Oryzias latipes: one gene and its partners. The main gene of each other region encodes a partner of the protein of the gene in region 2 in a complex. Links are inferred from orthologs where the notes say so. Each region holds a gene or a part of one and is shown on either strand. Other genes may lie near its edges.

Region 1 (4,950 bases), on a different chromosome or scaffold from region 2:
CAGTTATTTCTAAAATGCAAACAGCAAGCTAGTTTTTTTTTTTCAAACTACCAAATTTACTTTACTTTTAAAAGTTTAAAAACTAATTCTGCTCAAGAAATCTAACTTGCACCTTGAACGGAAAAATGTACTGCTTTTAAATAAAAAAGAAATTAGATAGTCAGCATGTCAAACAAGTACAGGAATAATAAAAACAAGACAAAAGGGATATTAATTTAAGACATTTTGAAACATCTTTTATTTTTGTTTAAAAAAAAAAGAAAAATTCAAGAACTAACTTGCAAAGACAAGATTGCAAATAACAGACAAGTCATTCAAGTAAACGACATGAGAAAAAATAAAAACATTGAAAAGGAAAAGCTATCGTCTCTTCTGGAAAATGTTGCCTCTTCCCATTCCACCACGACCTCTGCCTCTTGCAGCCACTGCAAAGGGAGACAACAAATTCAGAAATAATTCAGTAAAAAAAAAAAAAAAACAGCATTCAGGAAGCAGGGTGTACCAAGAATAAGGAAAAGTGGACACACCATTTATCAGCATTGGTTAGGAACCACTCACCTTGTGCTTTCAGAATGGCCGCTTTGCCTCTTCCTGCTCCAGAACCCTGGTTCTTGTTCTTCATACTCTTTAACATTGGAGCGTTCTTTAACATGTCTGGTAAGATCAGAAAGCGGATCTTGCTGCCACGAATGTACACTTGTTCCAGCTGGGCAACCCGCCCGTCACGATAGGTTACTGTGATGTTGGACATCTGTTGGGACATAGAAATAAATGGTTCCGGTCTTAGATTCGTAAAATGGCTTGATACACGTTTACAGTGTTCAATGGAATGCAGGTTAACATTTTAAGTTATCTGTTAAACTTGGCAATGCAGTTCTCTATTTGAAAACACATTTGTAGATACTTCATTTAATCCCTTAAAATAATTTCTAACAACCTTTTTGATTTGTCATTTGATTAATAAGAAATCTACAATTATTAACAGAATATACGTTTTAGAATATTTAGCGTTTTGTTAAAGCCTTCACACTTATCTTTAGAGTACTTTTAAGACACACTGAGCTTTATCCACCAAAATTTCTGCTTTTAAATGAAATAAACAGATTTGGAGTCTATTAAACTTTTACTGCACTAATGAAGCTTGAAAAGACTATCAGCATTGACAGGATGTTTGGGAAATATATTTAGTTACAGTACTCAATACTTTAAGAAAAATGGCTTTAAATATTTCAAGGACAAATGTGCATATATGACCAGATAACTATACAGATTTTTTTAGGGGGGGGGGGTGAATTGGGTCAGTTAATAGAAAGAACACAACTTAAATTTACAAAATAAAATAAAATTGTTATTCCAGATTTGTTTGTTACAGATGTGCAACCAAAACTAGAGACCCAAAAAAAACAACAAAAAAACAAAGGTCATAAAGGCAACCTGTCCCAAAACTTTAAAATAATCCAACATAATTTCCTTTTTCCACACAGGGCCGTTTGGTTTCTTAGTGCTGTGTTTCTATTTACTTCCAACGGTAATGATAAATCATTTATGGTTTTTGTTTTTCCCTACAGGTCACTGACCTGATGCATATTAGTAAAAGGGAGTATGTTTTGTTGACTGTAAAAGCACCATTGATCTCATTGAGTAATTAAGTCACTACATCAATCAATCATACGTTACACACGTGTGGTTGGCTGAGATTTTGAGGGACAAAGAAACCGGGAGAGATTTTTCTTCGAAGAGGAGTAACCGATTTGTCTTTCGCTACAAACATGTTGAACAACTGTTTTTTAAAAAAAAAAAAGAAAGAAAGAAAGTATAACATGAGTTTGTCTCACCGCAATTGTTTTACTAAAATACTACATTCTCAACAAACCTACTCAAATAGTTCTACATCACCTGCTTGTTATAATTGGTAGATTCTAGACTTATTCCTGTGAAAGCAAAAAAAACAAATGTGCAAGTCTAAATAAGAGTTGGTGCAATAAACTGCATTAAAATACCTTTGGCATTTTTGTTTCCAAAAAGTATGTGAAATAAAAGGGGGGGGGGGCAGCCAACAATAAAATGTCCATTAAAAAAACATTCTTGTGTTCTTTACACATTTAAAATGTTCTTCTCAAGTGTGGTACAGTGAGTTGAACTCTAAATAGAAATTTACGGCATGCTTTTTTTTTTTGGGGGGGGGACGTTACTCCATACAAACCTGGCAGTTCATGTTGTCTTCAGCCTCGATCAGTTTGCCCCTGTAAACCTCTCCAGTGTTGGTTTCACAGGTCACAATGTGTCCCTCTGCTTCATGCAGGACCTTGATTGGTACGCCAATGGACATTTTGGAAACGGTCTTTCTAGGCTATTAAATTAAAAAAAAAGACAAAACATACGGTAAAGGGCACTGAAACATACAGTATTATCACAAAACCTGACGTACGGTATTGTCTTTGTTTACAGAAGGCTACTGAAAGTCTACAACATGCAATTCATTCATCCAATTTTATGATTATTATGTTTGCATGTGTCTGGCTTGGAAGTAATATTTACTGTTAGAACATACTTAAGACTTGTTTTGTGCTGTAAATAAGGTAATTTACACCCACAAAAAAAAACGTACAAAAAAGGCACTTAAGTATAACAATGTTTCCATTATCATTAGCTAAGCTACCTCGTTAGTGATTTATTTCTTGTACTGTTTATCAAGACGGTATTATTTCTACGTAGAGAAATCAAGTGCTGCAGAAAACTCTTCAGTTTTGGATTACACAGTTTAATCAGGTAAATGTTCGGGATTACTTTTAAAACGTAGTAACGCTAATGGCTAGCTTAGCTAGCCACGTTAGCTAACTAGCCACCAACTACTGGCCTCAAGCGAAACAAAACATTAATTAAAAACTGTGGGAAGTAAACCACCACAATATATTTAACGTTAATGCTTCACACCCAACATTGTTGGGACTCAAACGTGCAAATTATTTTAGACACAAGCTAAATATCAGGCATGGATGGAGCGATGGACATATTCGAAACTTAGCAAATGGGAGGCAATGTAGACAAAAAGCGATAATTCTGAATCACATTCACAGCTAAATACCAACCACAATATAATACTTGCTAGCTTTAGTAGCTAGGGTTTAAAGTCTTACTTCAACTCCCTTTGAATTCTTGAATTGTTGTTCTTTTTAGCGGCTCAGCAACGTGGGCTAGTCGTTGAGCTTGGCGTTTGAGCCTTTTTTCCGCTTACCCACAATGCACCAACAAAGCGTTTGTTTCCTGTGGCGCTTTTCGCCGTGCATTATGGGACATGTAGTTGATTCTGATTACCTAAACCAGGTGTGTTAGGTCAAACAGAATGTAGACTCACTTGAGTCAGCCAGTTACCAGAAAGATGGTTAAGGAGAAACAACAACAACAATAATAATAATAAGTGTTATTATTTTTTGTACTATTATTATTCTTTTTTAGTAGTATTGGAAGTAGTAGTAATAGTAAATAAAAACTAATTTTCATCAAAAGGCCTCAGAGAGGTCCAGGAATACCAATCATTATAGGACATTGGACTTTCAAACAAAAATAGAAATCATGAAACGTTAACAGATTAAAAATGTACACAATAAAAAATGACTTGTTTATTTGTCCTGAATTAGATTAACATGAATTTAATTTGATGATTACTCATTGGAAAAAATCAACTATAATGGAACACTGGATAGATATTTGTAAAAATATTTTATTGATTCCTTGCAGTGGTGCATGTTTTTTTTCCATAATCCTCCTCACTATGTTTTTTCTCTTTTCCTTATTTGTTTTATGTGAAAGATTTGAATCCCGAACACGTGTATAGCTGGCACATATGCTTGTCAAAACATCCCAGCAAGAAGAGATTATGAAAATGAAACGACTCAATCAATTCAAATGGATTTTTTTCATCGACCACAGAGAGCTATAAACATTTACTCTACATAGTTTTTGAATGAACAGACTTTACGTATCATATACATACCCTTGCGTGTTTATTTATGTGGACTAGTCTTTTTTACCACTTCAGTGAGACGCATAAACATTGCTTAATGCGGGGCTTTCTCACGCTGGAAGAGGTTTCTAATGAGGAAAGACAAAGCATAATGGGATAATAAAAGACATCACCAAATGAACCATCATTTGATTTCCATTGCAACAGGGTCATTGACTGGCGTCAGCAGACAGGCTACTCTGTAAACACCTGTACCTGTGCAGCGTGTGGTCATGTGTATCTACTTTACGTGTCCATGAGGGTTTCAGGCGTTTAATGCATGCTAACCTGACTCTGAACGTAGTTCCAGTCCAGCCATGAGCAGTGACATTTGCAGAGATCAAACAAGCACTTGTTTTGGGTGGATGCTAACAGGCCTGTTTACACTGATGCCTTTGAATCATGTCACTTAGATGTTGATCTGGGTTGTCAGCTTTTGTTGCCAGGCAATTATCCAATTGCTGATCAAGCAAGCAAAAGGATTTACTTAGAGGTAAACACTTTGTAGGGGAAAGTGCACACCTATAGATTGTACTCAGACTACATTCGTTTCCTCAGCTGTTGCAGACAGCCGTTACAACAAATAGCACGGATCAAAAGAAAGCTGTATGTCATGTGGAGTGTGTAAAACTTCTCATTTTGCTTTTTGACATTTTACTTCATGAATCGCCATAGTAAATCTTGTCAAATCTTCTTTTAACCCTTGTGTTATCTTAGATGACCCCACCCTTACTTTGACATGTTCTCCCTACCATGACAAAGGTGGATAAAGGTGGAAAGATTTCATGTAATCCATGGACACCAGTGAAGATCACAAATCATTGAAGAAAAAAGGTTCAGTGCACTGTCTAGTGGGTCTAGATGACCCAACTCCCAATGTTAAATTGCCTAGGATAGCACAAGGGTTAAATGGTGGCACAGATAAAAACTTGTTTTTTTTCCCGGTT
Region 2 (4,050 bases):
AAAAAAAAAGTTCCTCCACACAATAATAAAAAAAATTCATTAAAGACACTGAGGCAGAAAAATGGTAATTGGAATGGTTCTTCAAAACAGTCTGAGACTTTAAAGTTTACAGATAAAGAGAAAAAATACTTAGACAAAAATCCCTTACAAATGTCTTTAGAGACCAGTTTTGACCACAGGAAGAGTTTAGATATTGTACAGTCAAAACTGGGATTAAGTCTGGCAAGGGGTGCCTAACAGGATGTTAGCTGAGGACATGTTACAGTGGATTTCATCAGATATAGCTACAATTTTCTAATTTAGTGGTTAACAAATCACTTTTCAAAAGTTTATTGGACTAGGATACTTACTTTACGGTAAAGCTTTCTGTCTGGCTTTGTCAGAGTTCCCTCATTACTACAATTAAAAAGCTTTATAGTGCAGGACAATCTATTGCCCTGGACTTTAAAGGCAAACAGCAAATATGACATCACCTATTTCACGAAGTGAAAATCTAAATTTATGACGACTTTTTATGAATCCACTGAGAATGAAAACATTGATTGTTTATTTATAAAAAAATGCATCTAAACACTTTTTTCGCAAAATTGTTCGAACGCAATGCATTATGGTCTATATTCGCCAATCTAGTGAGCATCAATGCACACTGTTTTTTTGCAGAGACGTCTGGAAAAAAATTTAGGGCACTCGATTCTGAAATAGTAGATTCTGAAAGCACTGCAAAATGGCGAACGAACTATAAATACAACTATGCACTGAATAGTGAAGGAATTCATAAATTGCCTGTTTTTTCCTGAAAAACACACATAAAATCTTATGGATATAAGACGTATCCTCGAAACATCCATGACAAATAGCTGTTAACAGTCTATTATCAACATCACAGGGCAGAAACTGTAATTTCTCAACACATTCTTTTCCACCTAAACTTACCAGGAGGTCTCATTTGTGTAGGGTGTTCTACCAGGTTTGTTACTCCAAAAAATTCCACGTTATCAAACCTCGTTTCCGGTTTGCTAAATAGGAAAAAATAATAAAGTTAACCAAACTAAAAGAAATGCACAGATAAGGTTAACATATTGGTTTAAAAACTGCAAAAACATTTTAAAGTTTTTTTTCTTACAAAACTATGTTGGAGGGCAAGATGAAGGAGTCCCACCACTCAATACTGGGTACTTCCCCATCTCCAATCTCCTTTCTAGGCGCAATCAATGCCAGTTTGGTGGAAGCCTGAATTCCTGTCTTTTTAGCAGCCTGGGAAATCTCATTCTGAAGCCGTTCCAACTGGGCCTAATGGGCAAAGACATTTATGCAAAAGGCATCAAACAAGGTGTTTTTGAATTGCCAAATTGTATTTCTGAATAATTAACAAAGGTCTTGAGATGATAATGTCAAGCTTTTCACCAACCTTGGTTCGAACTCTCTGGGCAATCTTCTCAAACCGTCCGGGCTCATGAAATTTGAAGCCTCTGCGGAGGCGCTGGGCAGGCGTAATGAGCACACGGTTGTCAAAGTATGATGTTGACTCCAAATCATCACTAGGTTTCTCCTTCAGTTGCTGACGGAACTGTTCCCTCTTTACCGCCCGTATGTTAGCTGCAAAAAAAGGAATAGTGGTCCATGAAGTCAAAGCGCAGTAATGATGAGACACATTTACACACCGATCCAGAAGACCTACCTTTGAGTGTGGGCATGCGGTGCGTAAGTTCAACCTCTTTGCCAGTGGCATCAACAGTTCTTCCCTTCTCATCAAGAATGAGGGGTGTTGGCTTGTTCACTTCCTTAATCTCCACTTTACTTCAGTTTCACAAACAGATACAAATGATTATTTGTATCCAGAAAGCAAATACACAATCTATTGTTTTTCCCCCCAATAAATTAGATATCTTCAAGTTACTCACGGTGGAGCAATTCCCATGGCATGTAGATTAGCAAGTGCTACCAGGTTGTGAGGTCCGGTGTTTCCCAAGGCTCCCAGGATACCAGGCTTCACAGATAACTGGGACTGAATGCGGGCCTGCAACTCTGCTGCCTTGCGGGCTTTTTCAATAGCATCATTCATAAAGCTGGCAGCCTGCGAGGGGGCAACAGATGAGGCACCAGCGGCGCCCAGAAGCCGTGAGCCATCCAACTGTGACTTTAAGGTTAAAAAGAAAACTGAGTTAGAGACAAAAAACTGTTGTTGATTTTTGTTCATGATTGTGCATAACAATTACTGCAGCAGAAGGGACCGAAGAAAAGCTCAGTTGTTTCTTCCTTTCTTCTATTTGTTTTGTGGCAGCCTCCATCATCTGCTTGATCTGAAAGAAAGTATCATGGTTTTAAAATAAATATTTATCTCTAAAAATTCATACTTCATAAATAAAATCAATAAGTAACAAACACATTTGCAATACTGTTAATCCCAAACCATGCAAGATGGAAAAAATACAACAATTAATGTGTAAAAGGTACTCCAAAGTTCCAATATCAACACAAAGACTAAATATATGTTCCCTTCTAATCTATATGAAAACCAGAAAGCGATACATTTAAATACTGCTCATTAGGTGTACATATTTACTTTGAAAATTATTGTTTTTTGTTCATCCTTTTTAAACGTTTTGGGGATTTTCTTTGAGGAGTACATCAAGGAAAACTGACACAGTTTAAACAACAAAGAATTGATTTTTTACAATACATTTACTGGAGCTGCTCATAGTTTAGTTGAGAAGATAAATAGGAACATTAAAGTAATGATAACACAGAGGCCCAGGCAAAATGACAGTACTCCAAACAAGCTATATTCTTGCTTATTTTAACATTTTTAGTCACATAAACATTTCATCTTCCTCCTTTTTTACCACATACCTGAGAGAAATACTGAAGAAGTAACCCGCCCACCATACATGTAACCATATTATGTTGAAAATCCCAAATAAAGAAGTATTTTTCACAGATGACTCAGCACATAATATCTATGCCATTTGTCTTGTACCTGCAGTTTGGTAAGCATGCCAGGGCTTTCAGAAGGAGGTCCTGGGATGACCTCAGGCTCCTCCACTTCTTGAAACCGAGGTGTTCGTTTTCGCTTTACTACCGTCCCATCTGCTGTCTCAGATGTTTCCCTCTTTGCACCAGAGTCATGCTCCTCCCCAAATACATCCTACGAATGGTCAAAGCACAAATATAAGTAAAACTAAACACTCAAACATATTGATTAGTGAACAAAAAAGAGCGTATAGCCTACACAGTATTTTTCCAACTTAAAAAACAATGTGAAATTGATTGATTGATCTTAATTCTTAAAAATGTTGTGGGGTTGACATTTTCAACAGAAACAACAGAATTAGTGTGACTGAAGTTAAGTAAGGTTTCTTTTTATTTTATTAAACAGTAAATACAGTCATATTTGGCAGTGGAAGACTAGTGGTAAGTAACTGACTAGTCAACTCCCAGAATTAGTGAGATTAAACTTAGATGGGACAAAGTAACCCATAACCCTACCGCTGTGCTCTTAAGTCAGACCCTTACTGTGACAGCAGCCACAATTGCTCCAGTGGAGCTGCTCAGTTCCCATAAACAGGTATTGCAAAAGTTTTTGACTGACTTTTCTCAATATAAAAGAATGATGATCCCAAAACCATTCTTCATAGGTTAATTTGGTACCCTACCTTGGTCAACAACATAAAGACCTCCATCTGATTGGTCAAATGCATAAATGGATTTATTTGATTCATTAAATACTTCAAGCTACCATAACATTTAAGGTTACAATTTATTGCAATTTTTGCAGTCCTTTGCGATATGCAATTTGCACAGCTTGATGTCGCAATAACGATAAATTTGCAATATATTGTGCAGGCCTAAATCATTAATTTTTATTCATTAATTTACCTTAAGTTCTCTCTTCCGGTTCTTTTCTCCAGATCCTTTGCTGCCACGGCTGCTTCTACTTTCCTCAAGAGCTTCAAAAAGACGTTCAACAAATCCACCAGCTGAGTCTTCGAGGAAGGGACGCAACTGGTCTGAGGACAATTAAGAGTCAAATGATTAACAATGTATTCAACA
Region 3 (4,647 bases), on a different chromosome or scaffold from region 2:
AGTTACAGCTATTGGAAAATGGCAGAGTCTCATCTGCAGGCTTCACTTTAGGCCAAACTCTATAGGAATGAAACAAAAGACAAAGATCCTAAACCGCCTCAGAAGTAAAGAAAATGTCCATAAACCCACAGACCTGCAGTTGGCCCATCGCCAACATCAGGAATGCACTCAATTCTCCATCGACCGGCGCAGTGTGTGGAGGCGGTTCACAGCGGTCTTCTTCAAACTGAACTATAAAGAACCCATGACTTAAAGCCCCCCTCCCCGAACCCGCAGCCCCGGTCACTGCTTCTGCTGCATGGCTTCCTTCCGAGCGGCGTCCTGAAGCAGCTGAGTGTCCACCTCGTCTGCCGGCAGCTGAACGTACCGGACCACCGAGCCGCGGATGAAACAGTTTTTCACAGACAGCTGGAGAGCGTGAAACACGTGAGACACGGAGTCAGGCAGGGCGCCTTCCAGAGGAAGAGAATGAACACATCCAAGGGGATTCAGAAGCTAACACTTCTCTTTTTCCCACCACTCTCACGGGTCAAATAACCACATTTACACTCACCTGCCACTTTATTAGGCACACCTGTCCATCTGCTCGTTATCACAAATTTCCAACCAGCCAATCACATGACAGCAAATCAATGCATTTAGACATGGTCAAGATGATCTGCTGCTGTTCAACCCGAGCATCAGAATGAGGAAAAAAGGTGATTTAAGTGATTTTGAACGCAGCAAAGCTGAAATCATCTATTAATAATGAGTTCTCTGGACTCGATGGTCTCCACAGTCACCAGATCTCAACCCAATAGATCACCTTTGGGATGTGGTGGAACGGGAGATTGGCATCATGGATGTGCAGCCGACAAATCTGCAGCAACCGTGTGATGCTGTCATGTCAATATGGACCAAACTCTCTGAGAAATGTTTCCAGAACTTTGTTGAATCTCTGCCACCAAGGATTAAGGCAGTTCTGAAGGCAAAATGGGGTCCAACCCAGTACTAGCAAGGTGCGCCTAATAAAGTGGGCAGTGAGTGTAGAACTTCTGCATATTTTTAAATGTTTTTCTGAAAAATTGTAGTTTAGAAACTCTGAAAAATGTTTCTAAATCTTTGCTGTTTACCTGAAGAACTGCTGTCTGCTCTGCCCTACACTGAAACTGAACTTCCAAAGGTGTGCTTCTACATTTCTCACCCAGCAGACAACTTTAAAAATGTTTGTTATACTGACAGAAGGAAATAAAAGAATAAAAACAACTGTATGTTTTAGAGGCCTCTATGCAAACTTTAGACTAAAAAGTAAACCATAGATGAGGACTTGCCATGTGTGGATACTTCTCTGGGTCTGTCACACTGATGTCGGTCAACTTGATGTTCAGGTACTAGATGATGACAAGAACAACATTTTTAAATTGCAAACCAATACATTGATTAATTAAAAAAAGTAAAGAATTAATTATTTTCTAACCTGATCAACAGAATGAAGCGTCCCACAGATACTGGGGGGAAAAAGAGAAAATGAAGCTTTCAATGCAACAGTGAACTTTTGATGTTAAATGACTTTCTGGGAATATGCAAATTTGTATTGAACAAGTCAAAGTTTTTGTTCAGTAAATTTATTTCTATTGTCAATGCTGCAGGAAAGTCTGTTTTTTCTTATATCCCACTCTTATCTTTTTAAAGCGCTCCTAGTGGTCTTTAAATGTGCTGTTTTTAGCCAAAAATAAAAAAAAAACCTGCGTCGTTTTCTAGGACAGTTTCTGCAGAGCAGCAGTTGTTCACTAGAAATTTGTCTGAGATCGTTGGTGCAGAGCAAGCCTGCCCCATCTTCCCATCATCCTTTGCTAACTTACAACCCCCCCCCCTTAACCCAACATTAGGTGTGCAACAAAAAAGAAAAAAAAAGTAATATTGGAGCAATCCAGCCGTACAGTTATTTGTGCCAGCTCAGACCAGGAAAACAAAGACGGACAAATCTATTTGCCTGCAAGTGGATGCATCAGAATGGAGCAGAGCAGGGAGCTTATGGCATCAAAACCACTTTTTTCATTTGGATGGGTTTTTAAAAAAAGTACCACATGTCTAAGTATCGTCCATCTGTGAGAGGAGCTAAGAATTATGAGTTACGTCTTTAAAGAATGCCCAACAACTAACTGTAAGCTAATTTTAATATTTACTTTTGAGCTTTCATCATGAGATGCAGCTAGTTTGATTGACCCCCCACCCCCACCCCCGCAATTGACCCTACTTCTTCGGGAAAAAGGTCTAAAATGAATTTGCAGCACGTTTGCAGACCAAGAGTTAGCTCAGAAAACTAACAGGAAAAAAAGTACATTTTTCACGCTGCTGGCACCAACCTATTGAGCCAGATTTGCAACAAATGCTGGAAGGAAGGGATGGCAACCCCACGCCACTGTGACCAGCATGAGATGCAAAACACCAGCTAGAAGGAAAGACAGCAACTCTGACAGAGTCAATGTCTCTGTCAATGCTAAGTAGCTCTTCACTGCACCCATTCAAACAGCGCTAGCAGAACCACGCGCCATTTTTAACCACAAACGGCGCTTTGAAAAGAAACATTACCAAACAAATTGGTATGTTGAGTTATCAAAACCAACCTGAGGTCGTTTTTCAGCTCCACCACCACGTCCTTCCCAACCAAAGACTTGAAAAACGAGTAGAAAAGCTGTAGATTTTTTTTAAAAAAAAGACGATGTTAGCACGATGATGGGCCGACAAAGCGGCTCAGCACACTGCGAGCAAACTCAGCGACAAAACAAAAGAAATTCAGAAGAATTCTGACACTCAGAAACCTAAAATGTTTGACTTAAACTAAAAAAGTACATTTTAAAATGACGATTTACGCCTTACCATTTTGGCTGTGGTGTTCTACAGAAGGTTTGGCTGCTGTTGATGACGTATCAGCCTGCGCCGTGTTTCAGCGGTGAGTGAGTACCACTTTGCGCCACTAGAGGGAGACACACTGTCGTTCAATGTTTATTAAGGAACTATCAGGTGTTTTTCATTGACCGAGATTTAAATTTAGGCTTTCACTCATATTTCTTTAAAAAAAAAAGACATAAAAAACATTATGAGCCATCTCTTAAAAAATTGAATAAAATATCAAAAGTCTAATTCAGATTTAGTCTAGCTTCTAGTCTAGCTACCAGACATGTTTGTGATACTTTTTGTACCTCAAAACTTTATTTTTTTGTAGTATGCAGACCTTTACTGTGATTTAAAAACACACACAAACACAAACCTGAAATGTCTATAATTTGCTGCAAGAGTTTTTAATCAGGATTAAGTTTGTTCCTCAATGTTCTTTTATAAATTACGACGGAGTTTTAGGGCCACCAAAAAAAAACAAAAAAAAAACGTAGGGTCGTAATAAAAACATAGAACCTAAACTATATTAATAACGATATTAATCTTTGTAAAGAAATTGTGTTTTTCTATACTGGTCAAAGGAAAGCATGCTTTTCATGCTTTAATGCTGAAAGTTTTCTGTATGAAAACTGGATATATTTATTGTTTACGTCTTCTAATTTAAAGAACCTTTGGTCTCCAGTGCCATTTGGAGTTTTATTCTGTTTCTTCTCCAATGTCTTTCTGATTTTATCTACAGTTTGATGCAATAAAAATCAGAAAATGAACACAATTGTGACCGTTTTGTTTCAAGAGTTCTTTCTGTATTCTGATGAAAGACCACACGGGGGCAGTGTCGAGCACTCAGATGTTTTAACAAATCTTTTCAGCTTCTTTACTCATCATGGTTTACGAACTTGATCTGAAACAGAAAACTCTATAGCAACGAATCACAACTGAATGTACACAGTTTTATCTTTAAAATAATTATTAATTCAAAAGTTCTTTTGTTTTGTTTTTGAGAAAGTTAAGACGTTGCTCCTGGGTCTTCTGTTGTTGACACGGGTAAATTCCACTAAATGTGCTTAAACTGTGGAGTGGACGGTGTCTCAGTGGACTCTAGTTCAGGATAAAAAACAAACAGGTGAGATAACTCTGGACCATTTACTCCTTTTATGAATTTTCCTATGTTTTGGAAATTCTTTTATTACAAGATACATACTTGATAGAGTGAGTCTTTCTGCAACTGTTAACTTAATTCATTTTCATCAAATATAGGGCTGCACAGTGACGTAGTGGTCCACTAACTTTACTCAACAGTTGCTCAGTTAAAGGATTCAGTGGGTTCTGAGGATGGATAGGTAGATAAGTGGATCATTAAAAGCAAAAACAGAGTTTCTCTATAGACTATCATGTAAAACTAACCCTATTCTAAAAAGACTTTACAGAATGAATAAATGTTGTCACTTGACCCTTGAAGTCACAACGAAACTGTTAATATCATCCGAGCACACACAGGAAACACATCGGAATCACAAAAAAATATAGTTATTATTATTCTTACTTTCTCTTCTGTAAACCACCTCAAATTTGGCGGCTGAACATGCAGGAAAAATGACCAAAAAGGCACAAAAACACCAGGACAGGTGAGCTCCTTTCATTTTTAAAAAGTTTCACTTTGGGCCACGCCCCCAGAGCAACACTAAAACGTTTTCCCGTCCCAGTGACATAAAATTTTTTAGGCTTTAGGTACCGGCGTTCCAAACAGGAAGTACCCATTGGCTCCAAGAA
Region 4 (3,657 bases), on a different chromosome or scaffold from region 2:
AAGCTTTATTGTCATTGTACAATCACACTTGGTACAACAGTACAACGAAATTGCAAACTGTCCCACATTGGTGCAAAGAGAAAGAAGAAAACAACAATTATCTTTTACACACAAAAAAGTATAAAAAATAAATAGATACATATATAAATATATACTGCAACTTCCAGCTTTTTCTGCCACAATTGACACAAAAATGGATGTGAGATTGTGGAAGGCTGGGCATGCTTTTACATTTCAACATGTTGACGAGCCTTTTCTGCTCTCTCCCATAAATACTCCTGTGGAGAAAATATGTCTGTCCGTTATCCCAGAAGAAACATTATTTCAAATTAACATTGCATCTCTACCTCAGAGCATGTCTTATTGGAATATGTTTGCTGATGATATTGCATGGAAGGAGGTTTGGCAAACCCCTAATAAACGCTTGATCACCAATTAAGTAAAATAAGCTACTTTTAGGATTATCCACAGAATTTACCCAGATACAATTTTCATTCAAAAAAGATTAGATGAAACATTGATACATCTGTAGTTTTTGCTGCAATTCCCCTGAAACAGACATCCATCTTTTCTGGAATTGTCCTCAAGTTAAAGTGCTTTGGTAGAAGATTTGTGATTTCATACATGACAAAATTGATTCTTGTTTTGTTTTATTCTGGAAACATGTTTTGTTGGATCTTATATCAAAGGATACACAAAAGGACTCTGGTTGGCTTTTAAATCTCTTGCTCATGTTGGCCAAACAAAAAAAAAACAGTTACAACTTTTTTTAAATTGGTGGGTTTTTATATTATGTTCAGACCCCATTTTCTTTGTCTTTCACTTTTTTTTTAACTTTATTGACAATTGAGGTATCATACATTAAATAACGAACAATAACCATGTAATCAACATTACCTTGAAGATCAATCACCATTGCCAAACATAACATATTAACAAAAAAATAAAGAATAGAGAAAAACAAAAAAACAATGAACATAACACACAAATAAATAAAAACGAATAAGTAAAATAAAAATAAAATAAAAGAACATAGATCCAATCTAAATAGTCTAATACTAGTTAGGGGTACTCGTGAAGTTTGTATTTCTGAACAAAACAAAGCAATTTCAAGTCATTCTTCTTTTTCATATAATGAAGTGATTTGAAGTAAAAAACAGAGCTCTTTATGAAATGTTATAAAAAGTGTTTTGGTCTTCAAATATTTATTTTTGTGTATATAAAACTTTCCTTGCAACATCTGGATATTAAGAACACCAAATAGAAATTTTTCTGCGTGTAAATGAACTGGCATTGCAATTTTGGAAGAATACCAAAAGCAGAATTCCTCCCAGAATGTTTTTATAACTCCTTTGTCTTACACCTAAACAAACGTTGCTGTTCAAATAAATACTCCACGTTCGATTGCTTTTGCCTGCTGGACTGCGCTCATTTGTCGATTGGTCGGGCCTGTGCGGAAGCGTGTTCGTCAGTAAACATGGCAGCCACCCAGGGCACGAACCCGTCCCAGCTGCTCCCACTCGGTCCGTAAGCTTTAAATTAAGCCCGTTTTCTATCCGGGGTCTGACGGGGATTCACGCAAAACTCCGGGAAGTGTTCATGCGGGGGTCAGAGCCGGGGCCGCTGCGTGGTTTGAACGGTCTGACAATGGCGGGCAGGAGTTAGCAGCTAATTGTTCGTTAGCATCGAAACGCTCATGCTGTTAAAACTACGTTAAAGAATGACACTTTTTAAGTCTTTGGGTGTTTGTCTGATTGTAATATATTTAATTCATCGATTAATATGGTCCTGCCGTAAAGGGTTCGTAGTTGACGCGCTTTTTGAATTGCATAGCAATGCTGCAGCTAGCCGCTCCTTGCGACCGTGTTGCTAATTAGCCCAAAAGGAAACGTTTTCACCTCGTCATTCATTATCATTAATATTATTAGGATGTACTACTCTTAAGAGATGGTTTTCCTTATGTTGGATGCCTTGCGTAAACTTTATTTTAAACAAAAAGTTAAGTTACAGACACCTGTTAAAATATAAAATCAGTGTGGTTTGTAGACTGCATGCATGAAACTGAAATAACTGTTCTTCTTTCTTCAGAGCTTGTGGACAAATGCATCGGCTCTCGAATTCACATCGTCATGAAAACAGACAAAGAAATCGTCGGAACCTTGTTAGGTTTTGATGATTTTGTCAGTATCCTTCATCGATATTTTGGTATCAGTGTTGTGCTGTTTCCCTGTTTGGCCCACAGCCGCTCCTTAACTCTGTGTCAGACATGGTGCTGGAGGATGTGACAGAATTGTAAGTATCTTGTTTTCTTTTTTTTTGTGTACTTGGGGCTTGCTGTTGATGTGTTTTTGTTTTTCCAGTGAAATCACACCGGAAGGCAGGAGGATAACAAAGCTGGATCAGATCCTCCTGAATGGAAACAACATCACCATGGTGAGAAAGCAGTCGGTGGGAAGGATGGGGGGGGTGTCGCTGACCGGATCTCTCATCAGAATGGTTCTCTTTGCAGCTCATCCCAGGTGGAGAAGGCCCAGACGTGTAGATGTCAAGTTTTCTAAATGTACATACATCTTTGGTTGTTCTGGATTGATGTTAGTTTGCGGATTTCTCTTACTGGACATTTTGTTTTTAATATTTTTTAGTTTTGATTCTTTAAGGTTTGAATGAATCACGTCAAGGACAGAAAAGCTCTTTTTGTTATAAATAAACCAGATGATTAAACACAGTTTGATTTACAAGTTTATTATTCATAGGTTCACTTTAGTGCAATTTTCTTTCCTGTTTTTAAAAAGTGTTGGCATCCAACAGCAGTAATAACAGCTCACGGTTCATGAAGTCTAAATCTAAAGTTGCGCTCCTCCAAAACGGCGTACCGCTGCCGCCTCAGTACATGGAGGATTTCTCCTCTCCTTTTGGGTTGGTCACCTTTTCCAGGTTTTTGTTGATGATGTCGTACAGCTCGGCCTGAGGAAGTGAGAAGCTTGTTTGAATGAAAAGGTAATACACTTTAGCTATAAAACACCCCTAAAAACACATTTTCTTATATAAAACTAGGAATTTAACCTTTTTTTTGGTTAAAACCTTAAATACTTTCATTAAAATCCTACATCTGAGTGGAGGAAGATTTAAAAAGAACTTGTTTTAATCCAAGTAACTTCTTTTTTTTGTAAACCAAACAATTTATGCTACAAGAATCTCCAACTAAAAGTGAGCAAAAGTGTCTGGAATCCAAAGCATTTAGCGGCTGGAGCTTTGTCGTCTTACGTAGAAGCCGCGGATGTCGAGGAGGATCACCCTGAGGTCAGAGAAGAGCGCTCTGTCCTTCTCATGAACCAGTGAGCGGTAGTCCATCTGAGGGCAACACAACGACAGTTAAAGGTGTTTCAGGACGTCCGAGCCCATTGGCTACTGGGACATGATTGACAGAAGTCAAAGTGACGCCATGTAGGTGGAAGGTGGAGCAGTGTTTGTGAGACCGCCGTCAGAGTCGGAGCTGTGCTGACCAACGCATCATCTCAGATGCTCTACAAGCTTTCAGTTGTGCTAACTGAGTATTTTAGGTTCATTTGTCTGCTGCTATGTGTTTTCATGTATGTTTACTTTGTATTTATGTGATTGTGCTGCTACTAGAACTTCCTTTCCCTGCAGGGACTGATA
Region 5 (4,718 bases), on a different chromosome or scaffold from region 2:
ATGGAAAACTCACCTCTTTGTCCTCTCATCGCTCTGAAGGTTTGACCAGGGCGCGCGCTCCTCTCAGCCGAACCTCCGCGAGGAGACGGGCCGGCGGGTCCGCTATATGCTCCACCTGATCCGGGGCGTGCCGAGCCTCTCCCGAACTCAGTCACTCGGTGTTGTTGACTCAGAAACGGCAGCTTGAGCTGCAGGAATCCCCGTCTCCTCCCAGCTCCATCCGCTGGGATCCCGTTGGCCACACCTCAGTGTGTCCAGGAGCTCCAGGTAAACAGGTGAGTGCCTCACCTGACCAAAGATCTTAAAGAGCTCTAGGAGGATCCGCCGAGTTCTTCCATCAGGGTCCCAAAACCCACAATAAAACTAAGGTACAATTTATCCATGAAAACTAGACATTAAACGCCACATTTTTTTCTGCAGAATTTGATTTATTTTAACTTATTATTGCAAAAATTCTCCATCATTTAGAAAAACAATGTAAACATGGGTGTTAAGCACAGTATCCCCACTCTGCTTACAGCATTTCTAATTTAAAGTCGTTAATGCCGCAGATTTCTCCCTGTGTGCCTAAGCTTTCCCATTCCAAACACAAAAACTCCCTTCAAACTGACAAAAGCTCACTCAGGGTGTGAAAAGGAAGATGTGATCCAGCTCAGATCACTGCAAGGAGCGACTGCACCCAAAGATAAAAACAAACTCCAGCATAGGTTTTCCTTTTATTTTTCTTATCAAAAACAAACAGTAAAAAGCTCACGTTGTTCCTGCATAAAAATGAAAAGGTTTGCACTTCCGTAGCACATGAGCTCTTTAGAACAGAGGTTCCAACGTCTGGACACCACAAACAAAAGGGAAGTGCATTCAAAAGTCATTTTTACTGCTGATTCTCCAGCTTTCTTCCATTAGGTTGGTTAAAACAAAAACAACAAAAATAGAAACAAAACAAAGGTCTAACACTTCATGGGCGATTTAGCCGTCTTGCTGCTGTATGAAGGGGTTGGGTATGGCCTCCATGCCGTCCTGAGGACAGATCAGGACGACGGAGGTTCCTCTGCAGACCACCAGCCCCAGCTGCCTGGTGTCTTCTGTCAGCTTCAGCTGGTCGTCTGGATCTGCACACAGACACACAAAGGGATTGTAAATGCCAGAGGATGTTCATCTTTATGTTGCAGTTTTTGTACATTTAAAGAGATTTTTATTGCCGTCAGTAAATGTGACAAATGCTTAACAGAACAAGAGTCCACAGTTGATCCGATACTAGAGGAAAACAATATTACAATGCAAAGAGTTATTAGTTCAAACACAAAAACATTTTTTTCTAGCTAGTGGACTCTTAATGTTAAGGAAATGCTTCAGAATATGATAATGACCTATTAGAACCTATGCAAATGGGAGATAAAAACTTTGGTTTACGGAAAAACACGCCAAGTTTTTAATCGTTATTAAACGCGAGTTTGATGAATTATTATTATAGTTTTTAACTGGAGATCAATACAATTAATTTACTTAGTTTGAAGAGTGAAGGTGAAATTCTTACTGAAAGAAAAGTTACAATATTTAGAAAGGAGAATTAGAAGAAAAAACATTCTTACAAAAAACAGTTTTTCGCCATGGCGATCAAAGTAGCTCCAACTGCTCTTTGTGACATTTTAATGCAGCCAAATTATATATACGTTTAAAATGTGTTTACTTTATTAATCATTGTTAATCCGGCATTAGAGAGTGGGCTAGTGTTAATTTTCTCTCGACTTTAATGTGTCTTCATCATGAATGCTCATCATAGTAAGAAATAATGAGGTCATGTTATGTATTTGGAAAACAAAAGTCCATCTTGTTGATGGTTTTTCTGAAAAATATGAATAACCTTCTTTATGAATCTTTAGAGACATGATGCAGACATGATGCATTCATGATGACAAACAGGACATTTTTTCAAGATGGGGAATTGTGATTAGAAAACGCAGTTCAAAGTTTGATTAAAAACAAAACATTAAGTCCTAAAATACCTGTCTTAGACTACAGCACAATAAATCAATGTTTATTGAAAAAGTTCAGTCTCATTTTAATTTCCAATTTAACTTTTTTCAATTTTTATTAAAGCTTTAGTTTTTAAGAAATACACACTTTTGTAGAACTGATGAATTAAATTAACGCTGATGTTTTTCACACTTATTTACGAGTAAAAACTGCACAAGAACAGATGGAAATTCACGTATTAAGTTCAGCAAAGATGCATTTATCAGAGTCATTAGTGGTTTTACCCAACCCTAACCATTCCTCCAGGTCTGTGAGGCCAAGAAAGAAGTTCTGCACCGGCTCTACGTATTTAGAAAATTATGTGGGAATAGTCACTTTCATAAATTGAAGAAAAATAGAACTTTAAATACAAAAAATTGTAAATATTATAAAGGCGAACAGATTGGCTTCTCCTGTCTGAGAAGGCACGAGAAAATCGTTTAAAAAAAAAAAAGAAAATCTTGCGGCTTTGATGAGTAAATATTACATTTTTTAAATGGAGATCAATACAATTGATTTACTTAAAAAAACAGTTTGAAGAGTGAAGCTGATATTCTAACTGAAAGAAGAGTTACAGTATTTTTGGAAATGAAAAAGAATTAGAAAGTTTGAACCTCACAGCCTGAGTCCACATAACAGTATCAGTAAACCATGGACTAAATAACTCCTAACTACTTAATTATTAGTTCTCCATTAAGAAAAGTGGGTACACGTGAGTTTTCACTTACCACGCATGTACTCAATTGTACCGTCCAACACCAGGTTCAATAGAGGATCGAACCCTTTTAGAACTCCGCTGGCTAAAGAGGGAATAAACAAAGTAAATAATTATATTCTGACATCACTGTGAATATTCTGGTCACCACAAGTTACAATCTTTCGACAAGCCACCTACCCTCCCGTCCTCCTTGAAACTTCACACGAATTGGCTTGTCGATGTATTTGGACAAGTCAAAGATGCTCTCCTTCTTTTTCTTTTCTTTATCCTGTAAAGAAATGTCAGTTTCCAAGATTAATGCACAGTTTAAGGCGCAGACCCTTAGCCTAGCATTAGCTTAGCATCACTGACTAAGGCAGTAACAATTTCACAAATAAAACGGCCGTTACTTCAGAAATGTTATTCTCATTTCCTCAAGTATTCTATTACTGACTAACACCAAATAGAAAATGTTCGGTGAACAATAAGAGAGAAAATTAAACGAAATTATTTCGCACTCACCGCCATGTTTGAAGTGTGACCCGGAAGTTAAACTTTGACCCCAGATACAATTTAATAGCACCAATCACATCGCCGTAAACTCGCATCTGACGTCATCTGAAGTTATTTGCACTCAAAAAATAAAATAAAAAAATGTTCTTAGCTTTAGTTTTACTAAATAATTGTATTTTAATAGTAATTTTTAAAAAAACTTTTACTTTTCAAAGTTGACCTCTTTCTTAACTGCATTCTCCGGGCAGGGGCGTCTATTAATAAACAAAGTACACACCAGCTGGTGTGTTGGGAACCTACCGTAGTTGTGATCCAGAAACAGGACAAAGCAGTAGACTTGTTTTACTCTTTACAGTGACTGAAGTGAAGTTTCAGAGCTTCAATCAATCTTTTCCATGAGTTAGATAACACAATGGACGAAGATGGATATGCTTTTCATGTGGAAGACCCTGGGCCGGATTTTATTCCAGATGCTGTCCTACGGGTAGAGGAGGAGAACTTTTACGTCTGTCGGGAGCACCTGGCCCTTCAGAGTCCATACTTCAGAGCTCTGTTCTTTGGCTGTGGTGTGGAAAGCCGCAAAAAGCTTGTTGAGATCAAAGGTGTGGGTCGACAGTCTTTCAAAGTTTTGATAGAGTACAGCAAGACTCGCCGTCTGACTTTGGACCATGAAAATGTTCTTGGGATTCTTGAGACTGCAAACTATCTACAACTAGAAAAAGCCAGACTGCTGTGTTGCAAGTTCTTGGAGCGCGAGCTACACCTCACGAATTGTTTAGGAATGATGGCCTATGCATGGCAACTGGGCTGCTCTCAGCTTTATTCTGCAGCCCGGCAGGTTGTGCTCACACACTTCCCTGCGGTCTCAGCTGAAGAGGATTTTCTGTCCCTTTCCAAGGAAAGTATTGCTGATCTACTTGCCAGTGATGATCTGGCTCTCCACAAAGACGATGTGGCGCTTGAAGCCACCCTGCGCTGGGTTTCGTTTGATCCTAAACGAGAAGAACATTTTTTAGAGCTAATAGAGCTGGTGAGACCAGAGTCTCTCTCCTTAGCATTTATTACCCAACTTCTGACCAGAATGAAAGGTTCTGACCCTCGAGCAAGGCTCATCAGCAAGCTGAATGATCACTTCCCAGCCTCTTGGTCAGTAGGCAGGTCTTTGAGGCGGACCAAAGCTACAGAGACTCTCTATGTCCTGGGAGGGCCTCATGATCAGGAACAGCAGGCACTGTATCAGTTCCACCCTCTGAGCGGTAGATGGCAGTGCTGTGCACCTTTGCAGCAGAAGAATCTAACTCAGTACTCAGTAGCTGCAGTAGGTAATATCCAATTAAGATTAAAGAGAATGCTTTTCTTGAAATCTCAAATGTGAAATAAATGTATAAATTATATTACATTATAAATGTATAAAATAAATGTAAATTTAAGGTGTATTTTCCATTTAGGAAACAACGTGGTTGTGACTGGAGGCCACTTCAGAGATGTGCTGTGG
Region 6 (3,429 bases), on a different chromosome or scaffold from region 2:
CATGTAGCTCGTGGAACAATAGACATTTGGCTTCATTTCTATACGTTTCTTTTAAACAAGTAAGGGTAAAAAATGATTCTAAATGCACGTCTATGCTCAGTTTAGACCAAAAGAATAGACCCACAGACAGAAATGTTCCTGTTAGATTGTGTCTCTAAACACAGAAATGTCTTTTCCTTTTCATTGGGGGAGAAATCTGAAGGGTTCAAGAGTTTCTCACCAAAGGTCGGCGCACTGAGGGTTTTTCAGCCGAGACTTTTCCAGGATCGCTCTGGCTCTCGTCAGCTGTCCGACTCGCTCCTCCAGACGAGACAGCAGGAACCACAGCGCCACTGAGTGTGGACACTTTTTTAACTATGGAAACAGAAAAGATAATTATCACCTAAAGAGCTCATCCACCTAAGGTTTGGTCTGTTTTTTTTTCCCCTCACCCCTTGGTTATACGCCTCTCTAGCCTTGTCCATGTTCTCACACTGCTCCTCAATCTGACCTCGCATCATCCAAAGCTTGGGGAAGTCCTCGTAATGTTTCAGCGCCTCCGTGCACAGATCCTGAGCAGCTTCTATGTTTCCCAACACCCACTCCAGCTTCACAGATTTCATGAAGACCTGAAATTTAAAAAAAGAAAAAGTTCAAATGTGTTTTTTACACAGCAAGCCTGGATGTGACCTTATTCAGAATTATACCGGCTGTCAGAGATTTCAAGTCTGGACTTTGTTACAAAGCCATAAAACAATAGTTTACACTTCTGCTACAGTCCCAACATACAAGATTACTACACTCTTCACTATACACAAAAAAACGACAACAATGGCTGCAATTAAGCTAATTTATATTAGTGCAAAATACTTCTGAGCTTTGTTATAAAAAAATAAAAATAAAAGCAGTCGGGAGTTTAAACTCACTTTACCAAATAAAGAACATAGGTCACTAAACATAAATTAATATACATTTTAGACTTAACAAGTACATTAAACATGAACAATTCAAAAACAATAAAACCTTTTACTCTTTTACCCAAAAAGGAATAAAATAAGGATTTCAGCATCTATAATCAGACGCGTATCTGAACCAACAGACCCTAAAATGTGTCCCATCAAATGTTTTTTTTTCTGTGATTGGCAACACAAGTACAGGATAAAATATTCAACTGGAAATTTTTCGAGTCTCTTCAGATGTTGATGTTACGTCTGGGCTGTTTTTTTATATTTTGGACTCTGATTTATCTTTTTTTCAGCCTTGAGAAGTGAGCCATTCAATGCCACTTTCTATCATTGTAGCCTGAAAAATCAACAGCTTCCTCAACAGTCTGACAGCAGGATCAGCACAGCCCACAGCAGAGTAGATTCTCTTAGGTTGGCATCTCTCAGCACACAATTGCGATATGAGGCGGGATTGGAGCACGATAAAGATCAACGGTGACAGGTGACAGGCTTTTCTGAAAGCACCTGTCAAAGTGAGTGGAGATGACTAACTGACACTGCTGGCCTCAACAGAATTAGTAAAGAAGACTGAGACAACCTTCTTTTAGATCATGATTGAACAACGGGTTTCTGACAGGAAACAACACAACATTATAGCCAAATCTGGCATGACTCTTGTCAGACAATCTTGTGAAAAATGTGGTTTATTATAACTATACTATGAGCTAATTTAATCATAAACTGTTCAATCATATTGGGAGGCAAATCAGAAAGTTAGGGAAGTCTCCATTTAAATGCTTGTATTAGGAGAAGTCTGGGAGAAAAAGTTTTAAAACTCCAATATCCTTATTAGGACTTCCATTTATTTTTCCAAAGTCTGAATTCAAACCTAATTCTATAGGTACAGCTTCAAAACTACTGATATTTTGGCCCCATTTTTAATGGCAGACATGACGTTTTTCCTCTTTAGAGCTAAACTTTGATTCCCAGGAGGACCAGCGCCTCCCAAAAGAATGGTTGTAACCACAACGGTCCTAATAAGGGAAGAGAAATGAGCATAAACAAACACAGGCGCTCACCCTGGCTGTTGGTGCACTGCTGCGAGCCTTGGCCAACAGTCGGCGGGCTCTCTCATACTCGTTGTTTTCAGACTCCAGTTTTACAGCAGCAAGCCAGATCTCTTCACTGTTTGGGTTGGCCTAAAAAGAAAACAATAACAAAGGACTGGTCTGCATTAAAAGCTAATTTATAATCATTATGATAATGTGTCCAGAGTTTGCAGGAGTTCATCGCCACCTGAAAGGCCAGAGCGAGGATGCTTCGAGCTGCTGGCACATCACCAGCCAGCCACTTGGACTTGGCACCCATCAGCCACAGGACCTCAGCTTTGGGACAGTGAGCTACGGCTCTCTGCAGCAGGGCCTCCAAAGACTCCCTGAGGCACACCATGAAAAGTTAGAAAACAAAAAGTGACAGAGATAGAATCGAATGCAATTAATGGAAATGAAGCAAGGAGAATAAGATAATAAAGCACGACTTCATGGATGATAAAATATGTTTGAAAAAAAAAAAGACTGACCTGGTCCCGTGGTTTTTCTCAAAGTAGGCAGCTCTGAGCCAGACACTTTTCTTACTGGGGAACACTTGAAGGGCATGGGCATAGATGGCTCTGGCACACTCCAGAGCTCCATGAGCCACACACTGGAGCACAAAAACCACAGGCCTTTAATTACTCCATTAAAAAAATAAAATCACATAATGTAATTGGCCAGATAATTGAGCAGTGCATTGTGCAGTGATCCGACTCGTCTTGTGCTCCAAATTCAACCAACTTACACTGTCAGCATCCTCCATCCATGTGTGTTTACGGTCCTCCTCTTCAATGCCAATGCCGATGACTGCCCTTATCACAGCCTGACAAGTGGCCACGCTGCCCGCTTTATCACACTCTTCAGCATCCTGCAGCACACATTCAGACGGAGGAACAACTGTGACTGATAAGGTGGCAGAAAATAATGTGAGAAATAAAAATTTGATACAGCAAAGAAATGCAGCTGAAAACAAACTTAGAACTGAGCAACAGGGAGTCTCAAACAGTAAAGAATGGAGGTAGAGGTGCCATGATATGTGGCATAACACTGTCACGTCGCCAACATGAATGGAAAAACACTAAAGAATATGTTTTATCTAACTGTAAATACATTCAGGCATGATTAAATAAATACAAAAAACTATTAACATTTATGAACAAAAACTACTGAAATAACGGTTTCTACTGGCAGCTTTTAAAAACATCAACAGAGAAACTGATGAGGAGCCTGGGATGTGTTGAACAACCCTGACAAAGGATTCATGACATGAACTCTGGATGTCTGAAATCTCCGGCGGCTCTTTAGCCTCAATAAATATTCCTGTTACTTTAACGATGCACAATCCACAGTGACATTCACCAAAATAAAGGTTTTTCACCATCCGATCACAACTGTGATGACTATGTTTAACGTAT
Region 7 (4,768 bases), on a different chromosome or scaffold from region 2:
ATACACACTGTGTTTGTGCGTATGTTCTAACCGTGCGTGTGTCATTGTGCGTGTGTGTGACATTGCAAGGATTTGCACTCCAGCTCGGCAGTACATCCACCCACCCACACTCACTCACGCACACACGCACGTGCACAGCACTGCCATTTAAATAGTGGGTCAGAGTCGTTTTCATGTAGCTTCACCAACCAAACTGTATGTTTGTTTTCTTTAAAGGAACAAGGATGTTGTAAAGTATTTTTGTACAAATTTAATACTTTGGTAGCATGAGGTTCCTGGTGTTTGTCCCAGTCCCGTCAGCCTTCATTCACCCCCCACCTCCCACCCCACCTTCTGTTTTTTTAATACTGAGCAACAATAAAGTGAGACGGGAGGCTGTGACTCCACATGTGGTCTAACATTAGCACATGCATTCAAACGTGTCTGTTTGGGTTTCCTGTCATGTATATAATGTTTCACATTAAACTGAACTAAAGTTTTACATTTGTAAAAATCTCTGAGTCAAAATCTTCTTCAGGAAATCTTAATTTCTCTCTTGATCATCCGAGGTCGTCCAGGACGCAGAACAGATGATCAGGTGAGGTTCTTCAACCGGCCTGGTCTGAATGTTAAAATGGAGATACGTCTCCATTTATATCCCATCATCCCTTTGTTTACGCTCTCTCCCACTAGCTTACAGCCCCTCACAACCCCAACTTAACTTTACTAGTGTAACCGTACAGCAAGCAGTATCAGAGCTTGCCATCCATCCAGGTCTGATCCAGATTCCAGTTCAGACCAGGAGAACGACGACGTTCATGGATCTGGTGGATGATCAGAAAGGGGCGGAGCAGGAAGGCTGTGGCCCCGCCCATCTTTGTTGCTGCGTAACAACTGGGAGTTTTTTTCAAATGGCATTTTTTTTGCTACTGATTTACGATTTTAATAAAGAAGTACTTAGAAACGCAGTTTTATCTTAAATAATTTTATATATGCTCTCCATTACGAGAAAAATGCTACAAGAACATGTTAAAAACATCACATCAGAGTGGGTCTTTAAGGAGAAACTGAAAACTAGGCTAGAATTAGTTTTGGATCCTAAACCGTTAAGAGAAACGTGAAACCGGATAATGACCACATCTAATGATTGGTTCTGATGATGCTGGAATGTGTGAAGTATTTGTTACAAAAATAAATTTTAAGAAAAACAGCCTGAAAAGTTCAGATTGGAGCTGTCATTTCATTTAATTGTATGATTATTTGTTTAATTAAGTTCTTTAAACAAACACTTTTTAAAGCAGATTTTAATAATGTGTGAATGTGTGAGGATGGAAATTAAAAGTAAAGAACAGCTCAAAAACAATTTCTCCAAACTCCGTCCCAGGTGGTGACACTAATGCGCCAGCAGGGTGTTTGCTAACCGCCAAAAGAAAACACAGAAGAAGAAGGAGGACATGCGCATGCGCGCTTTGACGCCTCAGCTCTATGAATCTGTGTGAGATTAGCTGAGCCTGGCTGTTGTTAGCTGCCGCCGTTAGCCTGTGCGGTGTTTTTGCGGGTTCTCTTAGCCTGTTTCAAACGCAAGTCTTCCCGCCAGCTGGATAAATAAAAAAGGAGCTCCGGACAAACATGTCCACCGCGCTGGAGAGCTACATCAACCGTATCCTTCCGCTGCTGCTAGCGGCTAACAGGCTAACCGCCGTTTAAATGAATGGAGGGCTAACTGCTAGCTTAGCGCGCTAACGAAAACTCGTGTTTTGTTAAATATAAAGAGTGTAATTTAAATGTCTATTTAGTAGGCTTAACTAAATTCATCTTTAGATTTCAAACACTGTTTATTTTGTGCTTTTGTTCGGGTATCGTGCAAAAATAAGAATTTGTAGCCTTTTGGGTTATTTTCAGCAGAAAGTTTAAACCAGATTATTTTTCTTATCGTTTCCTGATTATTATTCATCGATCATTGGAGAACCGGGTTTGTCAGTAGAAGTAAAGAATAAATAATTAGGAGAAATGCTCTTTTATATTTCCTTAGATTATTCCTAGAGATTAAAGAGATTTGCATGAATCTCTTTAGTTCTGGAGGAGGATCTCCTCACAGGAACCAAAACATTCTGAGAACTTCATGATGAATATCAGGAATTCTACTTCTAAACCGCTTTTATTTTCCCAGAGTTCATCTTTTTGAAAACATGCTGCTGGTTTCCCCGCGTGTCTTCAGTGAAACTGAATCTTATCTTACAGATTCGTGCTAATTTCTCCTACATCCCATAATTAAATTCGTATTTAAATCAGCTGCAGAGAAGTTTGTTTTGCTGAAAAGCAAACCACAAAAAAACAGTAAAAAGTAACATCACACTGACTCAGTTTAATCAACTCCAATAAAAATTGTGTTTCTGATTTCAATTAGGCAGCAGTGGATGCAGTTTATTCTCAGCAACAGAAAAGCAGCTGTGAAGGTTTTTGTTCTTTGAGGCTGAATCTGTACAGCATGTTGTCTTTTCCACCAACCAGAAGTCGGGGCGGGGCTTCGGTCACCTGGGCTCAGTTTTTTCTTAAACTTTTTCTCTGCTGGTATCTGGAGTCCAGGGGACTTTGGATCCGACACTTCGCTCTGAACTCAGAGGAAAAGCTGCTGTAGAGATTTTTGAGCTTCCTAGAAGCTGTGAGGTGATGATGTGTTCTGGATGAGTTTCTTTGACCGATGCTGGCTCAGGTACGGTGGCCATCGTCACTTCAGACGGCAGGATGATCGTGGTGAGTTCAAATGCTCCTCCTGTCCTCGGCTGGATCCGCTCTTTTCGGTTGGAGCCCAGCCTCATTTTCTCATTTCTGATTCTCTTCAGGGAACTCTGAAAGGCTTCGATCAGACCATCAACCTCATCCTGGATGAGAGTCACGAGCGCGTCTTCAGCTCCAGTCAGGGCGTGGAGCAGGTGGTGCTGGGACTCTACATCGTCAGAGGAGACAACGTGTGAGTCTGAGACCGCCGGTCCTCCCATCAGAACACAGAGAAACAGGAAACAGTTGAAGACAGTTGAAAGGACATTTGATCTGAAAACAGCAGGTAAAAGCAGCTCAGCAGCAGAGTAGAGCGTCTACCTTCAGCCCGTGGGTTCGAGTCCACAGGTCGACAGAATCCTCCCCCTCCAGGGGCAAAGAGCCGCTCTGATGAAAATGCTCTTCTTCTTGTAGAGGTTTTCTGATGATGGAGGTCATAGATTCAGATCATTGAGATCAATTTCTGAGTTTTTCTTTAATCAAATTGTTGTGAATCAGGAGCAGACGAAAAAAATGCTGATGGGAAAAAATTACATTTATAGCGTAGAAAATACTCTGGGCGGGGCCACAGTCTCCCTGCCCCGCCCCTTTCTGATCATCCACCTGCAGACCAACAGATCCATGAACGTCTGTTCTCCTGGTCTGAGCTGGAATCTGGATCAGAACTGGACGGGTGGACCTGATGTTGCTGCTGTTTTTGTTGTTCCATTAATGTTAAGATGGGGGGGTGAGGGGCTGTAAGCTAGCAGGAGAGAGTGTAAACACATGGATGATGGGAAATGAAGATGGGCTCACTCTGCACTGCGAACCATCTGAAAATAGATCAGAAGCTGGTGGGAGTGGGACTTTAGCCCCCCAGCGGGCTCTAAAGGTCATTCTGACGGCGTGGCGATTCTTTTTTTCCTCATCAGAGCGGTGATCGGTGAGATCGACGAAGAGACCGACTCCACGCTGGACTTGGGGAACATCCGAGCCGAGCCGCTCAACTCTGTGGTTCACTGAGCTCACCGTCTCCACGGCAACAGTGGACTCAGGGGGAGGGGTCTGCTGCAGCGGGAGCCGTGGAGATGAAGATCTGAGGGTGATCAGAGTCTTCCTCCTCCAACAGACTGTTCTGATGTTTCCACGTTTGTATTTTTATAAAGGAGGTTTGAGTCACGGTCTTCATCTCCAACAGAGAAAAGTTGAATAACGTTGGATTTGATTCTTTTCATTTTGCTTTAAGGTGAAACCAAGACTCAAAAAAAGACTTGAGTTTGTTTTAAAGCACAAAGTTCTGCTTTTCTTCAGCTCCATGTTCTCGTCTTTCAGGGAAGAACAAATAAATGTGTGAAAATGTTTTCCTTTTAGAGCTTCTGTTCTGAAAACTTTATTAGCTATTTTTTTTAAACAGACGTTTATTTTATTTAGATATTTGCTTTGCTTTATTTGTGATCATGGAAACTTGAACTCATTGTTTTGTTTTTTGTCCAAAACGTTGAAAGATAGAAAAAACATGAAGCTCCGCCCTTGAAGCTAACATCCAATCAAATCAGTCGTAGCGATAAACTGCTGGAGACTCCAGCATTTCTGCGTAGGAATGATCTTCTGTTTGACAGTCAGCTCACCCGTTTATTGGTTCAGGCCGTCTTCCCCCGTCCTATCAGGATGGTTTAGCTCATAGTTATCTGGTTTGGCGACGTTCTCCGCTGTTCTGGCGTGGAAAATGTGGCGGCTAGCATTGTGAGGCCCCGTTTTCCCGTGTCACGGCTCGTGTTAGCGCCATCTACTGTTGGCTGTGTGTCACTGCGGTTGTTTGGCTTTCTGAAACCTTTTTATATGAAGTCTGTGGCAGGAGGCGGAGTCAGACGCTTGGCGCCACCCCTGCACTTTTTTTTTCAAACTTTAAACCGATGATGATGATGATGATGATGATGTCACTAGAGGACAAAGTCGACACATCTGACCCGTGAGATCATTTTCAGTTATTGAAAAATGTAGCGCTGAAAACATCTTCACTACAGATCCCACA

Evidence for each region.
Region 1: prpf3 (region 2) and snrpd3 share a complex: the UniProt entries of both Homo sapiens proteins name them as parts of the U4/U6-U5 tri-snRNP complex. The link is inferred for Oryzias latipes from reciprocal best matches to the Homo sapiens genes PRPF3 and SNRPD3.
Region 3: prpf3 (region 2) and lsm2 share a complex: the UniProt entries of both Homo sapiens proteins name them as parts of the precatalytic spliceosome. The link is inferred for Oryzias latipes from reciprocal best matches to the Homo sapiens genes PRPF3 and LSM2.
Region 4: prpf3 (region 2) and lsm5 share a complex: the UniProt entries of both Homo sapiens proteins name them as parts of the precatalytic spliceosome. The link is inferred for Oryzias latipes from reciprocal best matches to the Homo sapiens genes PRPF3 and LSM5.
Region 5: prpf3 (region 2) and lsm7 share a complex: the UniProt entries of both Homo sapiens proteins name them as parts of the precatalytic spliceosome. The link is inferred for Oryzias latipes from reciprocal best matches to the Homo sapiens genes PRPF3 and LSM7.
Region 6: prpf3 (region 2) and prpf6 share a complex: the UniProt entries of both Homo sapiens proteins name them as parts of the U4/U6-U5 tri-snRNP complex. The link is inferred for Oryzias latipes from reciprocal best matches to the Homo sapiens genes PRPF3 and PRPF6.
Region 7: prpf3 (region 2) and lsm8 share a complex: the UniProt entries of both Homo sapiens proteins name them as parts of the precatalytic spliceosome. The link is inferred for Oryzias latipes from reciprocal best matches to the Homo sapiens genes PRPF3 and LSM8.

The regions. Positions count from the first base shown.
Region 1 is NC_019870.2:16,128,442-16,133,391, forward strand, and holds snrpd3 (small nuclear ribonucleoprotein Sm D3), read right to left. Parts: upstream 3,268-4,950; 5' UTR 3,138-3,267; intron 2,351-3,137; 5' UTR 2,330-2,350; coding exon 2,204-2,329; intron 752-2,203; coding exon 559-751; intron 426-558; coding exon 361-425; 3' UTR 214-360; downstream 1-213. UniProt on the Homo sapiens protein: Plays a role in pre-mRNA splicing as a core component of the spliceosomal U1, U2, U4 and U5 small nuclear ribonucleoproteins (snRNPs), the building blocks of the spliceosome.
Region 2 is NC_019874.2:18,950,787-18,954,836, reverse strand, and holds part of prpf3 (U4/U6 small nuclear ribonucleoprotein Prp3), read right to left. Parts: intron 4,008-4,050; coding exon 3,877-4,007; intron 3,146-3,876; coding exon 2,978-3,145; intron 2,301-2,977; coding exon 2,217-2,300; intron 2,138-2,216; coding exon 1,902-2,137; intron 1,798-1,901; coding exon 1,679-1,797; intron 1,597-1,678; coding exon 1,409-1,596; intron 1,291-1,408; coding exon 1,124-1,290; intron 1,017-1,123; coding exon 934-1,016; intron 1-933. UniProt on the Homo sapiens protein: Plays a role in pre-mRNA splicing as component of the U4/U6-U5 tri-snRNP complex that is involved in spliceosome assembly, and as component of the precatalytic spliceosome (spliceosome B complex).
Region 3 is NC_019862.2:27,136,327-27,140,973, reverse strand, and holds the start of lsm2 (U6 snRNA-associated Sm-like protein LSm2), read right to left. Parts: upstream 2,981-4,647; 5' UTR 2,863-2,980; coding exon 2,860-2,862; intron 2,675-2,859; coding exon 2,607-2,674; intron 1,488-2,606; coding exon 1,457-1,487; intron 1,371-1,456; coding exon 1,311-1,370; intron 409-1,310; coding exon 283-408; 3' UTR 1-282. UniProt on the Homo sapiens protein: Plays a role in pre-mRNA splicing as component of the U4/U6-U5 tri-snRNP complex that is involved in spliceosome assembly, and as component of the precatalytic spliceosome (spliceosome B complex).
Region 4 is NC_019878.2:23,646,707-23,650,363, reverse strand, and holds lsm5 (U6 snRNA-associated Sm-like protein LSm5), read left to right. Parts: upstream 1-1,404; 5' UTR 1,405-1,477; coding exon 1,478-1,523; intron 1,524-1,584; exon of another isoform or gene 1,585-1,599; coding exon of another isoform or gene 1,600-1,639; intron 1,640-2,088; coding exon 2,089-2,184; intron 2,185-2,264; coding exon 2,265-2,292; intron 2,293-2,360; coding exon 2,361-2,433; intron 2,434-2,509; coding exon 2,510-2,542; 3' UTR 2,543-2,725; downstream 2,726-3,657. Other genes in the region: psme2 (proteasome activator complex subunit 2), read right to left, coding at 2,884-2,964, 3,265-3,351. UniProt on the Homo sapiens protein: Plays a role in pre-mRNA splicing as component of the U4/U6-U5 tri-snRNP complex that is involved in spliceosome assembly, and as component of the precatalytic spliceosome (spliceosome B complex).
Region 5 is NC_019862.2:8,272,138-8,276,855, forward strand, and holds lsm7 (U6 snRNA-associated Sm-like protein LSm7), read right to left. Parts: upstream 3,346-4,718; 5' UTR 3,239-3,345; coding exon 3,233-3,238; intron 3,000-3,232; coding exon 2,909-2,999; intron 2,814-2,908; coding exon 2,742-2,813; intron 1,110-2,741; coding exon 967-1,109; 3' UTR 698-966; downstream 1-697. Other genes in the region: kelch-like protein 24, read left to right, coding at 3,636-4,545, 4,672-4,718. UniProt on the Homo sapiens protein: Plays a role in pre-mRNA splicing as component of the U4/U6-U5 tri-snRNP complex that is involved in spliceosome assembly, and as component of the precatalytic spliceosome (spliceosome B complex).
Region 6 is NC_019865.2:15,457,371-15,460,799, forward strand, and holds part of prpf6 (pre-mRNA-processing factor 6), read right to left. Parts: intron 2,883-3,429; coding exon 2,760-2,882; intron 2,625-2,759; coding exon 2,503-2,624; intron 2,359-2,502; coding exon 2,220-2,358; intron 2,123-2,219; coding exon 2,003-2,122; intron 609-2,002; coding exon 432-608; intron 355-431; coding exon 221-354; intron 1-220. UniProt on the Homo sapiens protein: Involved in pre-mRNA splicing as component of the U4/U6-U5 tri-snRNP complex, one of the building blocks of the spliceosome.
Region 7 is NC_019881.2:23,243,197-23,247,964, reverse strand, and holds lsm8 (LSM8 homolog, U6 small nuclear RNA associated), read left to right. Parts: upstream 1-1,406; 5' UTR 1,407-1,608; coding exon 1,609-1,639; intron 1,640-2,692; coding exon 2,693-2,733; intron 2,734-2,822; coding exon 2,823-2,950; intron 2,951-3,668; coding exon 3,669-3,759; 3' UTR 3,760-4,106; downstream 4,107-4,768. UniProt on the Homo sapiens protein: Plays a role in pre-mRNA splicing as component of the U4/U6-U5 tri-snRNP complex that is involved in spliceosome assembly, and as component of the precatalytic spliceosome (spliceosome B complex).